Linked DNA regions of Xenopus tropicalis. The protein of the gene in region 3 interacts with the protein of the main gene of each other region in a pairwise test. Links are inferred from orthologs where the notes say so. Each region holds a gene or a part of one and is shown on either strand. Other genes may lie near its edges.

What was found.
Region 1: the proteins of ndel1 (region 3) and TRAF3-interacting JNK-activating modulator interact in binary tests that used the Homo sapiens proteins (3 or more experiments, as listed by UniProt). The two-hybrid records come from large-scale screens. The link is inferred for Xenopus tropicalis from reciprocal best matches to the Homo sapiens genes NDEL1 and TRAF3IP3.
Region 2: the proteins of ndel1 (region 3) and mis18a interact in binary tests that used the Homo sapiens proteins (3 or more experiments, as listed by UniProt). The link is inferred for Xenopus tropicalis from reciprocal best matches to the Homo sapiens genes NDEL1 and MIS18A.
Region 4: the proteins of ndel1 (region 3) and pkp2 interact in binary tests that used the Homo sapiens proteins (3 or more experiments, as listed by UniProt). The link is inferred for Xenopus tropicalis from reciprocal best matches to the Homo sapiens genes NDEL1 and PKP2.

The regions. Positions count from the first base shown.
Region 1 is NC_030678.2:50,647,914-50,652,361, forward strand, and holds the start of TRAF3-interacting JNK-activating modulator, read right to left. Parts: upstream 3,064-4,448; 5' UTR 3,034-3,063; coding exon 2,692-3,033; intron 511-2,691; coding exon 372-510; intron 1-371. UniProt on the Homo sapiens protein: Adapter protein that plays essential roles in both innate and adaptive immunity. Plays a crucial role in the regulation of thymocyte development.
Region 2 is NC_030678.2:15,375,592-15,380,124, reverse strand, and holds the start of mis18a (protein Mis18-alpha), read right to left. Parts: upstream 3,064-4,533; 5' UTR 3,008-3,063; coding exon 2,806-3,007; intron 770-2,805; coding exon 703-769; intron 1-702. UniProt on the Homo sapiens protein: Required for recruitment of CENPA to centromeres and normal chromosome segregation during mitosis.
Region 3 is NC_030686.2:49,776,299-49,780,227, forward strand, and holds part of ndel1 (nuclear distribution protein nudE-like 1), read right to left. Parts: intron 1,498-3,929; coding exon 1,400-1,497; intron 803-1,399; coding exon 649-802; intron 1-648. UniProt on the Homo sapiens protein: Required for organization of the cellular microtubule array and microtubule anchoring at the centrosome. May regulate microtubule organization at least in part by targeting the microtubule severing protein KATNA1 to the centrosome.
Region 4 is NC_030679.2:2,928,540-2,933,192, forward strand, and holds the start of pkp2 (plakophilin-2), read left to right. Parts: upstream 1-1,590; 5' UTR 1,591-1,668; coding exon 1,669-1,882; intron 1,883-4,653. UniProt on the Homo sapiens protein: A component of desmosome cell-cell junctions which are required for positive regulation of cellular adhesion.

The DNA.
Region 1 (4,448 bases), on a different chromosome or scaffold from region 3:
CTAGAATGCAGGTCTTTGGATTATTACACAGTATTATTTTGCTATCCTGTAAATGGATTCAAATGTGAGTTTAAAAGTTTTTATGTAAAAATATTATAAAATAAATTATTATATTCTCATAATATAAATTCACACGCATATGTATATTTATTTAACATATGGCTTTAAGCTGTAAGCCATATTAATAATCTTAATAATAATAACTTTATTACAATTACCTTACTTTATTACAAATTATTCCAATTTGTGTTATTTATTTATTTCTCTCTGGAAAAACTCAGATTCTACACAATCTATAACAGATCCCATACCTGTGTCACATAACTTTCTGCCACAAATATGCAGCGCTAAATATAACCAAACTGCTTTACCTTTTTCTCTCGTGGACATTTTATTCCTGTTGATTAGGTCGTGTGCAGAATCCCATTGAGAACCTTTGTTTAGTGTATCCAGGTTCAAACCTTTATAGTCAAATGGGTAAGTCTTAGAGTGATTATGTTTCCTGGAAAGCTGCAATGTGGAAACATCCAATGATTACAAAAAATTTTTTGATTTATACTAAATTATATAATTAGGCCTGACAATTTACAAAAAAATACAATATACCAGTTTTATAACAGAAAGCTGAATGTATAAGATGTAAGAAAAAATAATGAAACTAAGTAAGAATAAACTACTGCTATCAGCCCCAAAGGATTTTTAAAAAGCCCCTGCTTCCTAGTAATTTATTATGCAGTTCCCAATGATCCCTTGTGTGAATATAAAAAAACAAGTCTAAGCAGAACCCTGTGCACAGAGGGGAAAGATACTAGTCAGGTACTGATAATATTTGAAACAATATTTGGGCACATTTACAAAACAGTAATCTGCAAAGAAGTCTTGTACGTGCACTAAGTATGCATCTGCCCAGGGAAACATGAATATAATGGAGCAGGGAAGAAGATAGTGGTGGCGCCATCAACAGAAAAGTACCCCTAGATTTGGTGTGTCTTTTAAAAGTAGAAAAGAAAAGGATCATTTGCTATTAAAACTTATTAGGCTAATACTCTCAGATGAAAAACAGCACTTGTGAACACTGCCCTTTAATAGGAAACACTGTGCATCAAAACAGGCGCATCGAAATGAGTGTTTCTCAGCAGTGGTCTGGCTGTTACCACAAGATTTGCCATAGGCAGAGCACACCTCAGAGAACACTATGGAAATTAGTGACAGCCATTATTGGGGGCTGTGACCACCGCTGTTTTCCACTCAAGCGCAGTGACCAACAGAATGACAGGTGCAAATAGCCTTAAACAATGATAGAACTATTTATTGTACCATTGTACCATCTCAACACATAGTTATTTATTATTGAAAAATTAATTCAAGAAGCAGTACTTCAAGGCTTATGTTATCTATGCCAGCACTATTAGGGTGATTTAAGAGCTAACTTTGCAACTTTTATTACATTACCCTCTTGGACTTATTTCTAAGTGAGACTTACATAGTTGTCTGCATTGATATAAAATAAAAATTATGTAGTTATGTAGCTATTCTTTTTTTTATCTCCATATGAAGAGTTTAGAAATTAAATGATGCTAGAACCCCTGGTCCATTTCATACTCAGAAATGTTCAGTTCATAATAGCCTCCAAAAGATGGTTCTCATTTGTGAATCATACAGCAGTTGTTGCATTCATGCCGTGCCCCTACAAACATCTGAGATGCCATCAAATGCTGCCCTCAAAACACTTTAATCTTTACAATCCTTTCTACTTCTTTTTATTTTGCTTACAATATACAAGACTTTATGTATTTTATTCATCTTTTTTCAGGCATCAAATATGCTACTCAAAGCTTTAGTTTAAACAAGATTAAAAACAAGTGTTTCATTTTATAAAGTTGGCTAGCCCAATACAATTATGAAATCTTTGCTCTAAGAAATAATGATATTACACTTCATCTCATAAGTACACAAATTGAGAATTACAAAGCCCAGACACCTAGCCACCTTTATGAGTGAGGTTTTTACCCTAATAAGGCAAAACACAGGGGAAAATGGGGGAAATATTAATAAATACAATATGCATTTTTGCACCACACGCATTACTCTTTGTTTCCAGCCAGGCCAAAAAAAACACACACCTTGCACACACTCTTTACCATACAACCTATATGTCATAATGATCCTGACATGCCAATTATAAAAATAGACAGAGAAGAGTGCATTGACTCCAGATATACCAGTAAGATCACTGAAGATGATGGATTCAGATTATTGCATTAACCTCATACATGCCACCAACATCACTCCAGAAAATTGATTTAAACATTGCCTCCCCCATATTTGCACAGAGTACTACAAGGTTTCCTTCTCTCCCAGACTCCCCCATGCCATTAGTCTATTTATCACACCACTGAACAAAAACGATTAAAGATGGCCATGTGTACAAAGAAACCCAACAGCACAAAGACAGTTTTAGACAGTGGGGTCAGTTAGGTGGGCCCCCTCTGAATTTGGGGCCTAAGGTGACTGCCTCATTCACCCTACCCTGAAAGAACTTTTTATGTTATGTAATGTTAATTTTTCTGTTATTAGCATCAAGATACTAAACAAATTAATTTTTACAAGTAATTATGTAAAAATTAGATATCAAGATGGTATATTTATGTGATAATGATTCATACATACAACCACATCATTAACATTTACCTTGTTGTTTTCTGATAAGCCATGATCAGTATTTATAGACTGTAAATGTGTGCTGTGCTTCAATGAAGAATATCTAATATATTTTTGGAATTTTGGGGGAGACCGTATTCGCCTGCCTTCCAAACCCTCGGCCCACAGATGTCTCCTCTTAAAGAACTCCTGCTGACGTAGGGACTGTCCCTGGTTATCCTGTTCTCTTCCCCAGCTGGGAGTGTCCTGGCGACAGGAAGTGATGTTGTAGCGGCTTCGCAGGATTTCATGACATTCCAGTCTCCTCTCAAGTTTGTCCTCAAACCTTTCCTGTTTTTGGGCTGTAGGGGATTTTGAAGGCTCCATGAACATGGCTATCACCTTTAGAGAGCATTAGTATAGTCTTAAACCATTCGTACAATTATGCATCTGTCTTCTTATTTGTCCTTACAAAAGAGAAAGAGAGAACAATTCATGCTCTAAGTTAAAATGTTCCATATGCAGGATGTGAAAATGCTGCATCCCACAAATAATATAATCTCTCATCATAATTATTAGAATGACGAAATATAAAGCACACAGCATATGCAGTCACTTGCATGGATAGAATATATAAAATCCTGGAGTCAGTGGCAGATTTGCATGGGGTAATTCAGGCAGGTGTTCACATTAGTTAATTCCAAGGGGAACTAGTGCCAGCAATAGGTGACGGGGCTAGGGTGAAACAGGGTTCAGGGCGGATCAAGGGTGGTGCCGGGGGTGGATTTGGGTGGAGCCGGAGTACAGCCTGGGGCCAAAGGAATAATAAATCCATACCTGATTGGAGTCATCCAATGCATTAGTGTGGCCATGTAAACAAGTGGTAAGTGTCAGCACTTACTTGTTAGTTTTGTATTCTTAGAAATAAAACTTTAAGCTACATGAATGCGGGTGGTATGGTTTCAGTTATCTGGAATTCTTGGGGCCAGAGGTTTTATAAATAGGAGATCATACAATCATACCACGGTGCACTGTGCCTAAAGGTTATTAAAACCCAAGTAACTGTTAAAAATACAGACTGGTTTGACATCTGCATGGATTTATGTTACATTTATGTTATCTTTTAGGTACAGGTATAAGATCTGTACTGTTTAGGACAGGGGTGGGCAAAGTTTTTGGCTCGGGGGCCACATTTACTCACAGGCGGGCCAGGCCGGGCCAACGTCCTCCCACCAGCTCCCCCTCCACCAGCATCCTCCACCTCTCCGACCTGCAGCTCCCTCCATCGTTCCGCTGCGTCTGTTCCCCGGCTCCCTGCATCCTTTTTTATGGTTGCGCCCCCTGCGTATTGACATCACGAGCACGCACGAAGCGCAACCAATCAGGGCCCAGAAATTATTTAAAGGGACCCGGAGTCGGCGGGCCGGATTAAAAAGGCCAACGGGCCGGATGTGGCCCGCGGGCCGTAGTTTGCCCACCCCTGGTTTAGGACTAGGGTTTTGGATCGGCATACTTTAAGTCTGATAAAAAATCATTTAATCATTAAATAAACAACAGGATTGTTTTGCCACCAATCTGGATTTATACAGTTTAGTTAGAATAAGTACAAGGTACTGTTTTATTATTACAGAAAAAAAATAATTGATGAAAACAAGCTATATGGGAGATGACTGGTTTTGGGATCACGGGTTTCAGGATAAGGAACCCCATACCTATTTTATCTTATTATTACATTAATAAAAAACTAATAACATTTAAAAAAAAAAGTTTCCACCAGATTCCACATTTGTAATAAAAATTTACATTAA
Region 2 (4,533 bases), on a different chromosome or scaffold from region 3:
GGATCATGGGCAGGGAGAGAAAGTTCATATGGGGGTTCTGCACCCCTTCAGTTACCCCAAAAACATCATGTCTGTCTGCCTGTCGCTGAACACTGACGGACATCTGCTTCCTATTTCCTCTGTTATTCCCTGCGGGATGTATTGTTTACAAACACTGAAGCCCATGTAATTATCAGCTCAGGGGTAAGTGGGTTGGCCAAAGCCAGGGGCATTAGGAGGCAGGAAGGCAGCCATATCTAATACAATAAGGAGAAGACATCCAAGTACTGAAGTGATTTTCTAGCTGGGACTTCAGCACCTTAAGAGACTAGGGACAAAGTGTTTCAGTCATGCTGCAGGGCAATAGGATTTACGGATTTAACACACTGTAATGTCAGTGTCAGAATTGGCCTCTAACAAGTGTTGGGCGTAGGGAACGGAGGCAGATCCTGGGTAACATATCCATTAATCATAAAGAACTGCCCCAGAGTGGGCATCGCAGGAGGGGTAATTCACATGGCTAAATGAATAAAGGGAATGGATATAAGACATGTAAAGCCAACAATAATGGCTGATAATGAGAAGCAGGAGCCATAACAACAGGTATAAATGCTCCATCATTAGGTGGAGTCGCAACCTGATAGGCCCTACAGCCAATCAAAATCTGAATAGCCCTGCTTGGTTTCCATGGGGATGGGAATGCCACTAGAACAACATACTTACCAGCCATAGTCACTGGAAACCTTCGAGACGATCTGCACTTTATCCACCGAAACGTATTCAGATACAGCTGCAAGAGAACCACATGCCGATCAATTCAGTTTTTAAAAATAAGGAAAGAAAAATCAAAAGTCCCAATAGACCTTTAACAGGACATGATGCTGGTCACATGGTACACTCAGCGGTCGTTAAAGGGGACATACTGCGTGGAAAACAATATTGTGCCAATGAATTGTACTCATTAACTATAGAAGGAATGTACTTTAAAAAGTAGTGTTTCAAGTTGATTTACTAAAAATTTCTTTAAAAACCCCATTAGTCCCGCCCATCTGTTCCTCTGCTGCCTCCTTTCCCAGGCTGTGCGGGGGGGCCGGCAGCTCTCAGTACACTGCAGGACAGGAACCAATCAGCAGCCAGGCTGACCTGATAGGGAACTGAAGCCTGTCTTTGCTTTAAAGGAACAGTAACACCAAAAAATGAAAGTGTATAAAAGTAACTAAAATGTAATGTGCTGCTGCCCTGCACTGGTAAAAGTTGTGTGTTTACTTCAGAAAGTCTATAATTTATATAAATAAGCTGCTATGTAGCCATGGGGGCAGCCATTCAAAGGAGAAAAGGCACAGGCACATAGCAGATAACAGATAAAACACTATTGTATTCTACAGAGCTTATCTGTTATCTGCTATGTAACCTGTGCCTTTTCTCCTTTTTTCCAGCTTGAATGGCTGCCCCCGGGGCTACACAGCAGCTTATTATATAAATTATAGTAGTGTTACTGTAGCAAACACACCAGTTTTACCAGTGCAGGGCAACAGTGCATTATATTTTTATTACTTTAAAGCTCTTTCATTTTTTGGTGTTACTGTTCCTTTAATCCTATATGTCTCCTTTAAATTGCATACCCACATGGAGCCCCTCTAAGATCAGATGCAGCCCCTAGATTTTACAGACGCCACCCTGGAGTGTTTGAGTGCTCCCTGCAGATTGTATAGACACAAATAATTCTGTACACATGTATAGTGTCAACTAATGAACCCTCACACCTTCAATTACACATCAGCACAATATTGTCTGAGAAGTGCAAAGCTTTAATCCTTTTCTATTCTCTGCACTGCTTGCCTGACTACAGAAACAATGTAGCACAGGGGTCGGGAACCTTTTTGGCTGAGAGAGCCATAAACACCACGTTTTAAAATGTAATTCCGTGAGAGCCATACAATATGTTTAACCGCGGATGCTGCGGGGAAAGGTAGGGTGGATCCCAAGGATGCCGGATGCGGTGCAGAGGAGGGCGTGGCCTGCGCTCGGCGAATAGAAGACGTGTTCTAAGGCTTAGAATACTCTTCTACCTGCCGAGTGCAGGGGCAAGGTAGGGTGGGTGCAAAGGATGCCGGATGCAAAGCGGAGGAGGACATGGCCTACGCTTGGCGGATAGAAGACGCGTTCTAAGCCTTAGAACACGTCTTCTATCCGCCGAGCGCAGGCCACACCCTCCGTTATTTTTTTATTAAAGATTTGGCAGCGAGAGTCAGATGCAGCCATCAAAAGAGCCACATCTGGCTCCCGAGCCATAGGATCCCTACCCCTGCTGTAGCAGAACCATCTCTCCTCCAGCCAAAAGTTCCCATAATGCCTTGCATGCTTCTGAGCTCACCCTCTCCAGTCTGCTAATGGCAGAATATACAAGGCAATTTTGCAACAGGAGGCCGGGATGGAGGAGAGCTGACTAACCATATAAAACTCCAAAAAGCCAGCAGTCAGGACAAGCGTATTTTAGCCACTTGCTTTACAGCAATAAATAACTTTAAAATCATTAACATTGTCATTTAATGTGCAGGTAGGCAACTCCTATAATGAACTCTCTGCAATGCTTAGTAGGGCGTTAAAATGTCAAATATTAAATTAAATGTGTGGTCAAAAGAAAGAAACAAAGTGGGGTACTTGGTGACTTTCTGCTGCTGCTGCAGGTCTAGTATTAGGGACACTAATAGAACATGGTAGCACAGCGACGCCTAGTGGCAGAGCGCTAACACTGCACACAATAGAAACAGCAGAACCAGTAACCCCGCATAATAAAAACCAAGGTCCATTTTCCCCATTCAGCACCTTTCAGTAGTATTGTCTGCTCCCCCATGTCGCTGCCCATCCAGCTGTACGTGTCACCTATCGGCCTCTTGCAATGGCTGCAAAGAAACACGACCGGCGGATCATCCTGTGAATTAGATAGCTTCCCCGCGTTTTCATTTTCTCCCCCATAGGTACAATTGGCGGACATTAGGCTCGCATTCTTATCTGCCGCCATTTCCATTCAAGCGCAAACCGGAAATGACGTAGCGCACCGAGCAGCGCTCTGATTGGATAGTCTCCTGGAGTTGCCCGGACGTTTACGTTTCTTTATGGTGTTTGATAAAAAATACCCACAAAGACCAACCCATAGATATTGTGTGATGATTAAAGATTCCCTCATACAAAAGTTTTCCAAGAAAATGACCATTGTACCTATGCACTGTTATGTACCTCTTCAATAAACTTACCTGAGTAAAAAAAAAAAGATTCCCTCATGTTGTTGGGAGTATATTTATGGGGAACTTTTTATTTCTAAATGACACTGTTTACATAGCAAATAATTCCCTCTGCCATTTAAACTTTTATTCTTGAACCAACAAATGTATTTGTAGCTGTAATATTGGTGTGTAGGCGCCATCTCAGTGCCTTGTGCCTGAGTCTGAGCTTTCAGCCAGCGCTACACATTAGAACTGCTTTCAGCTAACCTATTGTTTCTCCTACTCCCATGTAACTGGAGGAGTCCCAAGCCGGACTTGGATTTCTTACTATTGAGTGCTATTCTGATACCTACTGGGAGCTGCTATCTTGCTCCCTTCCCATTGTTCTGCTGATCGCCTGCTGGAAGGGGAGGGGGGGGATATCACTCCAACTTGCAGCACAACCGTAAAGTGTGACTGAAGTTTATCAGAGCACAGGTCACATGGCTGTGGTACCCTGGGAAATGAAGAGTATGGCTAGCCCCATGGGAAATTTCAAAATTAAATATAAAAAATCTGTTTGTGTTTTTAAAAAACAGATTACAATGCAGGATTCTACTGGAGAAGCTCTATTAACTGATGGGTTTTGAAAAAAAATATATTTTCCCATTACAGTATTCCTTTAAAGCGTCCCACATCCATATTGGGAGTGACAAGCTGACAAGCTTTACCTAGGGTTGCAACCTGGCCTGTAAAAATGATGCTTGATGCCAATATTATTAATAGGCAAAAAGAGCAAATACAGTATATAGGAAGGTCAGTATTTTTTCCAGAAAAAAATTACAACTTTAGGTTTACCTTTTGAAGCCACTTCTGTCTCATTGGTCCCCCAGGTTGTCGATCAGGATGGGTGACACCTGCGATCTTGAGCTAGGGTTGTCACCTGGCTTGTATTTTACCAGTATAGCCGGTAAAACACCCGGCAAGGCCGGGAACAGTGCATTGCCGGTAAATGTGTAATATCTCTACATTTAGCCCCTGTGCCACCCACCTAAGCTTGTGACCCAAACCAACCTTTTGTCACCCCCCCCACTCTACTTTTAAACCACCTGTCGTTATCATAGCTCTGCCCCTTTTGACAGCATCCATATCCCTTGTCATGCTCCATTTACATCATGGCCCGTCCCATTTTGTCCCCACTCCCAGCCACCCATATTGCGTTCCACCTGCGTTGGGCACTTACATGCACCTGTGTTAATACAGCCCCATTAGAAAGAATGGGATGCAGGCCCGGACTGGCAATCTGTGGATTCTGGCAAATGCCAGAGGGGCTGCTGTAAGATGCCATAGA
Region 3 (3,929 bases):
TTATTCACTATATATTATAAGGAACTCCTCGGGGACTTATAATATCCCTATATGTTACAATAGGGGGCACTTTATTCACTATATATTATAAGGAACTCCTCGGGGACTTATAATATCCCTATATGTTACAATAGGGGGCACTTTATTCACTATATATTATAAGGAACTCCTCGGGGACTTATAATATCCCTATATGTTACAATAGGGGGCACTTTATTCACTATATATTATAAGGAACTCCTCGGGGACTTATAATATCCCTATATGTTACAATAGGGGGCACTTTATTCACTATATATTATAAGGAACCCCTCGGGGGCTTATAATATCCCTATATGTTACAATAGGGGGTACTTTATTCACTATATATTATAAGGAACTCCTCTGTGACTTATAATATCCCTATATGTTACAATAGGGGGTACTTTATTCACTATATATTATAAGGAACCCCTCGGGGGCTTATAATATCCCTATATGTTACAATAGGGGGCACTTTATTCACTATATATTATAAGGAACTCCTCGGGGACTTATAATATCCCTATGTTTTACAATAGGGGGCAAAATATTGTGCAGGTATGTGCCAATGGAGAAGGCCAGAGAGAGACAGATATACAACAATTGGCCAGTAAAAGAGCCCTTTACCTTCAGTGACTCCACCTCGCACTTTAGCCTTTGGTTATCAGATAACAAATCCCGGTTTCTCTGTTCCGCCTGCACCAGTTGCGTTTCCAGCTCGGCCTCCAGCTCTCGGCTCCCCTCCTGAAACTCTATCAGTTCATCGCGGGCCTCTTGGTAACTAAGGAGAGAAACGCCAGTTACGGTTGGCTATTGGTGCCGATTGTAGCCTATTGTATATCAATATTCAATTCATTATTGCACACAATACACAAAGATAAAGGGCATCTCCCTAAGTAACTTGCCCTTTATTCTGACATAAAGGGCAAGTCAAGCCAAAAACAAGATGTCACACTGGCCAGGACTCACTCCCTACTTTCCTTTAAAGGGGATGTTCACCTTATAATTAACTTTTAGTCTGATATAAACATTGATATTCTGAGACAATTTGCAATTGGTCTTTATTTTTTGTAGTTTTTCAACTATTTAACTCTCTGGAAGACCAATTGCAAATTATCCCAGAATATCACTCTCTACATCATACTATAAATTAACTCAAAGGTAAACAACCCCTTTAACCGTGGCCAAGCTGCACGCTGAGGGGTTAATGCGAGGGGTTTTCCTTCCCATCTGGTTAAACTGGGATGGTACAAACGGGTTTCAATGGCGTCGGTTACAAACGTGCTTTCCCAGGCACAGTTCCAAGGGGCAGGACCGGGGCAAAGAATGCCCCATTTAGTCGCTGAATAACAAAAGGGCTGGGAACCAATGAAAATACCTCTGTTTCAGTCTCTTTGCCAGCTCCCGCCAATAGACAATCTCCTCCTTGGGGCTCAGGAATTCAGGGATTTCCTCGTTCTCCATGGTTAAGGAAATCTGCAAGAGATGGGAAAGGAGGGGGCTAATGGAGGGGAAACAAATCAGAGAGGATTGTGCGGCGTAAGGCAAGCGTTGGAACAGTATTGTGACAGCTGTAAAGCAAGTCACACTTGTTGCGCCTGAAGGAGGGAAGATTAGCAGAGCTTCTGTGGGGATTTATACGGGACATGAAAGCGTCAGGCTCCATTACAGATAAATAGAGATGTTTGTGGCTTCAATAGGGAACAAGTAAAGGCTGGATATATTAATGTTCCCCAACCCGCCCCCACACATTCACACCTCTGCGGCCCCCCATAAAGGGGTGGGGTCACCTTTACGTTAACTTTTAGTTTGTTATATAGAACACCATATTCTTGGCAACTTTGTAATTGGTCTAGTTTCATTATTTGCCTTCCTCTTCTGACTCCAGTTTTCATATTGGGGTCACTGACCCCGGCAGCCAAACCCTATTGCTCTGTGAGGCTCCAGTTTTATTGTTATTGTTACTTTTTATTCCTCATCTTTATATCATGGCTGTCCTCTATTCATATACCAGTCTCTCTTTCAAACCACTACCTGGTTGCTAGGTTAAACTGGACCCTAGCATCAGATAGCTTGCTAAAATTTAACTGGAGAGCTGCTGAACCAAAAGCAAAATAATTTAAAATGTCTCATATTTCATTTTTAAAGATGAACAACCCCTTTAACCGTTTCCTTACACAGAGGGGCATGAGAAGCATTCACACTGCCCAAACAAAGGCCCCACTGCTGATGCACCAATCACATGTTGCTAAATATGAACATTAATAGAAATCAAGGACAATTTAAGAGTAAAACACAATCACTGTAACATTCGCCAAACGAGCAGATCTTCTCCCAGTATACCCTAAGGTGGGCAATATCAGGCCGACAATCTAATCACAATGACAGACACAGGGGCCATTGGACCGAGTACATTATCAATGAGCCAATGTGGCCTCGATCTGACGGGAAAATCAAACCTGTTGGGGGCCCATATACAGGCAGATATTGGTCGGGTAGGCCTGTTGGGGGCCAGATATCAGTCAGGTAGGCCTGTTAGGGACCCATATACGGGCAGATATCAGTCAGGTAGGCCTGTTAGGGACCCATATACGGGCAGATATCAGTCAGGTAGGCCTGTTAGGGACCCATATACGGGCAGATATCAGTCAGGTAGGCCTGTTAGGGACCCATATACGGGCAGATATCAGTCAGGTAGGCCTGTTAGGGACCCATATACGGGCAGATATCTGTCAGGTAGGCCTGTTAGGGACCCATATACGGGCAGATATCTGTCAGGTAGGCCTGTTAGGGGCCCATATACGGGCAGATATCAGTCAGGTAGGCCTGTTGGGGGTCCATATACGGGCAGATATCAGTCAGGTAGGCCTGTTAGGGACCCATATACGGGCAGATATCAGTCAGGTAGGCCTGTTGGGGGTCCATATACGGGCAGATATCAGTCAGGTAGGCCTGTTAGGGACCCATATACGGGCAGATATCAGTCAGGTAGGCCTGTTAGGGACCCATATACGGGCAGATATCTGTCAGGTAGGCCTGTTAGGGGCCCATATACGGGCAGATATCAGTCAGGTAGGCCTGTTAGGGGCCCATATACGGGCAGATATCAGTCAGGTAGGCCTGTTAGGGACCCATATACGGGCAGATATCTGTCAGGTAGGCCTGTTAGGGGCCCATATACGGGCAGATATCAGTCAGGTAGGCCTGTTAGGGGCCCATATACGGGCAGATATCAGTCAGGTAGGCCTTCCAAATTGGTCTGAAGGACTTAATTGGCTGCTTAGGTCTACCTGTGTGGCCACCTTAAAGGGGAAGGAAAGGCAAAGTCACTTGGGGGTGCCAAAATGTTAAGCACCCCCAAGTGACTTTAACCGCTTACCTTGTACCCCGGGCTGGTGCCCCTGTTCGGAGAAAATAGCACCAGCCCGGGGCACCTGGAGCGCAGCACTTCCTCCTTCCGCCTTCCACTTCCTAAACTGCCGGTGGCTGGGCATGCACAGTAGAGCGAAAAAGCCGACTTAAATGTTTAAGTTCGGCTTTTCACTCTACTGCGCATGCGCGCGCAGCGAAGCCGGAAGGAGGAAGCGCCGGCAGCTACCCCGGGCTGGTGCTATTTTCTCCTGACAGCGGCACCAGCCCGGGGTAAAAGGTAGGCGGTTAAAGTCACTTGGGGGTGCCTAACATTTTGGCACCCCCAAGTGACTTTACCTTTCTTTTTCCTTTAAGGCACAATGGACTAAGTGGTGGTCAGTAAGTTATAAGTCATAACGAAGCACTTCTAATTACAGTAACTGAAATAAATACCAGGTTTGCTGTATGCGTCCCAGCTGTGCCCAAGGGAAGCGTCAGCTCTGTGGTTATAAAGAGGGCAATGATTTGAGGCAAGGGCAAGTAAAGCACAGGGTGAG
Region 4 (4,653 bases), on a different chromosome or scaffold from region 3:
CCCCAAGGGGGGGTAGTGGGGGCCTCACCCATATGCCCACGGCTTCCATAGAAGCAGGTCCTCCATTGCTTTATTATATAATAAAGTATATTTTTTAATAATAATAATAATAATATAATAATAATATCTAATTGGACCCCCGTGCACTTAGGGTGCCAGGCCTTCAGGGCAGGACAATCCTTGTGCCCCTTAGTTACCCCTAGTAACCATATCTACCTATATTTTATTCATTGTCCTATAAATAAGACACAGTATTTGCCCCACTTTGCATGGAACACAATACAGACAGGGGCAATTAGTCTGAGTGTCATTATTGTATCTTATCTGTGAGAGACAATAGTAGCACATTGGTGGGTAATAAACCCCAGACATGTTAACCCTGTCAGTGCCTGTGTCACCCTGTATAACTCCCTCAGTGACTGCTAATATCCTTATCATTTACAGTAGGGGGTACATTATCCCTTATAATACATGAGTGATACTCAGAGTTCCCTGTATAACTCAGCCTGCAGCCTTGTGCCTTTATATGGGGGGCACAGAACCCCTCAGTGACTGCTAATATCCTTATCATTTACAGTAGGGGGTACATTATCCCTTATAATACATGAGTGATACTCAGAGTTCCCTGTATAACTCAGCCTGCAGCCTTGTGCCTTTATATGGGCACAGAACCCCTCAGTGACTGCTAATATCCTTATAATTTACAGTAGGGGGTACATTATCCCTTATAATACATGAGTGATACTCAGAGTTCCCTGTATAACTCAGCCTGCAGCCTTGTGCCTTTATATGGGGGGCACAGAACCCCTCAGTGACTGCTAATATCCTTATCATTTACAGTAGGGGGTACATTATCCCTTATAATACATGAGTGATACTCAGAGTTCCCTGTATAACTCAGCCTGCAGCCTTGTGCCTTTATATGGGCACAGAACCCCTCAGTGACTGCTAATATCCTTATCATTTACAGTAGGGGGTACATTATCCCTTATAATACATGAGTGATACTCAGAGTTCCCTGTATAACTCAGCCTGCAGCCTTGTGCCTTTATATGGGGGGCACAGAACCCCTCAGTGACTGCTAATATCCTTATCATTTACAGTAGGGGGTACATTATCCCTTATAATACATGAGTGATACTCAGAGTTCCCTGTATAACTCAGCCTGCAGCCTTGTGCCTTTATATGGGGGGCACAGAACCCCTCAGTGACTGCTAATATCCTTATCATTTACAGTAGGGGGTACATTATCCCTTATAATACATGAGTGATACTCAGAGTTCCCTGTATAACTCAGCCTGCAGCCTTGTGCCTGTATATGGGGGGCACAGAACCCTTCAGTGACTGCTAATATCCTTATCATTTACAGTAGGGGGTACATTATCCCTTATGGTACATGAGTGACACTCACATTTCAGGAGGTTGTTGCTGAACTAAAAGACAATAAGTGGGAGACACAGGTGCCTTCCTGCCCCTATGGGGTTAATAGGGAGGGGGAGGCCCAGATCACAGTGCCCGGCCCCGCCCAGCCGCTCCCTAACCCCGCCCAGTTCAGAGCTCAGTCCGGGCTGGGAGCGCAGCGCTGGGTATAACGGGTGGCAGTGCCCGGGGGGTACAGAGAGGCAGCAGGCGATAGGGAGGATACGGAGGGGCACAGGGGGGCACAGGATGGCGCTGGTGATGCCCCCGGGGGGGGAGCAGGGGTATATCCGCACGGTACTGGGGTACGAACACTTCCAGGAGTTGGACAGTTCTACCCTGGCTCTGCCCTCCGAGGAGCGGCTCAAACTCACTGCCAAGGAGCCTGTGGATAAAGCGCAGAGGATCCAGCAACAGGTCCGGCTCACCCTGGCCCGGAGGGGCAACAAGAGCGTAGGGAACGGTAAGTGATTGGCCCTGTAGGGCTTCCTTCCTTCTGTGGGGCATGGGGCTGGGTAAGTGGGGCTGAATGAGTGGATCTGGGGTGTGGCATTAGGGTATGTGGGTAGGTATAGGGTAGGTGAGTGGGTATATGGGGTGTGGGTAGGTATAGGGTAGGTGAGTGGGTATATGGGGTGTGGGTAGGTATAGGGTAGGTGAGTGGGTATAGGGGGATACAGTGTGTGCCAGTGGGTGGATATCGGTTACACTTGGGGTATATTGTGTTGGAGGGGTATATAGGGAAGCTCCAGGGTAAATACTCCGTCTATAATTAATGTTCCTATACAGAGAATATCTCACTGTGTAAGGTGCTGGGCACCCCCCCCCCTCCAGGGCACCCACTCACCCGGGGCACACTCACACCTGGAGCACCCACTCCCCCGGGGCACCCACTCACCCCCGGGGCACCCACACACCCGGGGCACCCACACACCCGGGGCACCCACTCACCCCCGGGGCACCCACTCACCCCCGGGGCACCCACTCACCCCCGGGGCACCCACACACCCGGGGCACCCACTCACCCCCGGGGCACCCACTCACCCGGGGCACCCGGGGCACCCACTCACCCGGGGCACCCACACACCCGGGGCACCCACTCCCCCTGGGCACCCACACACCTGGGGCACACTCAGCACTAGAAACACAGGAAATGCACGACTGTGACGCCTGCACCAATGCAGTAAGTGCCTGCAGGTATCGGTGCAGCGACGCAGTGTGTGCGTGTAACCTACGTGCCTGTGCGTGGAATTAGTGCAGTGACCCGGCGTGTCCTGCCATACAGCTTTGCACAGGTACACAGGGGCGGGGCTTTGTGTTCTGTGTGCAAATGGCTGCACTGATACCCCCAAACAGCCTGTGCCTTAACTGCCCCAACTGCCCCCTTGGGTTGTGGCTCATTTATAGGGATTTATTCACTACGGTAATTGTGCGGGGGGTCAGTACTTGTGAAATGGGAGGCTAATTCTGCCCCAGACTTACCCCTCCCACACACCCCTTCCCTAAAGTGCCCCTGTGCCCACAGCACTAAAATGCACCCCAACAGGGGCCTGTCTGTCACTTGGCGCTAAAACCCATTTTTAAGAGATGCTGATCAATAAGTTATTAATTCATCAGTTCCAATGGTGGCGCTGTTCCATTCAGGTCTATGGGAGACTAATACTGGTGGAAAGTGGTACTGCAGCTAATCATCTATATACCTATTCTAGCACTATGGCAACCCCTACCCATATGTATAAATACAAATATACAGAGAAGGAATGTTCTGGGCACACAATAAGCTGTACCCCCATACTGTACTGTCTAAGGGAAACACTATGGCACCCCCTACCCATATGTATAAATACAAATATACAGAGAGGGAATGCTCTGGGCACACAATAAGCTGTACCCCCATACTGTACTGTCTAAGGGAAACACTATGGCCCCCCCTACCCATATGTATAAATACAAATATACAGAGAGGGAATGTTCTGGGCACACAATAAGCTGTACCCCCATACTGTACTGTCTAAGGGAAACACTATGGCACCCCCTACCCATATGTATAAATACAAATATACAGAGAAGGAATGTTCTGGGCACACAATAAGCTGTACCCCCATACTGTACTGTCTAAGGGAAACACTATGGCACCCCCTACCCATATGTATAAATACAAATATACAGAGAAGGAATGTTCTGGGCACACAATAAGCCCCACCCCCATACTGTACTGTCTAAGGGAAACACTATGGCACCCCCTACCCATATGTATAAATACAAATATACAGAGAGGGAATGCTCTGGGCACACAATAAGCTGTACCCCCATACTGTACTGTCTAAGGGAAACACTATGGCCCCCCCTACCCATATGTATAAATACAAATATACAGAGAGGGAATGTTCTGGGCACACAATAAGCTGTACCCCCATACTGTACTGTCTAAGGGAAACACTATGGCACCCCCTACCCATATGTATAAATACAAATATACAGAGAAGGAATGTTCTGGGCACACAATAAGCTGTACCCCCATACTGTACTGTCTAAGGGAAACACTATGGCACCCCCTACCCATATGTATAAATACAAATATACAGAGAAGGAATTTTCTGGGCACACAATAAGCCCCACCCCCATACTGTACTGTCTAAGGGAAACACTATGGCACCTCCTACCCATATGTATAAATACAAATATACAGAGAAGGAATGTTCTGGGCACACAATAAGCTGTACCCCCATACTGTACTGTCTAAGGGAAACACTATGGCACCCCCTACCCATATGTATAAATACAAATATACAGAGAGGGAATGTTCTGGGCACACAATAAGCTGTACCCCCATACTGTACTGTCTAAGGGAAACACTATGGCACCCCCTACCCATATGTATAAATACAAATATACAGAGAGGGAATGTTCTGGGCACACAATAAGCTGTACCCCCATACTGTACTGTCTAAGGGAAACACTATGGCACCCCCTACCCATATGTATAAATACAAATATACAGAGAGGGAATGTTCTGGGCACACAATAAGCTGTACCCCCATACTGTACTGTCTAAGGGAACACTATGGCACCCCCTACCCATATGTATAAATACAAATATACAGAGAGGGAATGTTCTGGGCACACAATAAGCTGTACCCCCATACTGTACTGTCTAAGGGAAACACTATGGCACCCCTACCCATATGTATAAATACAAATATACAGAGAAGGAATGTTCTGGGCACACAATAA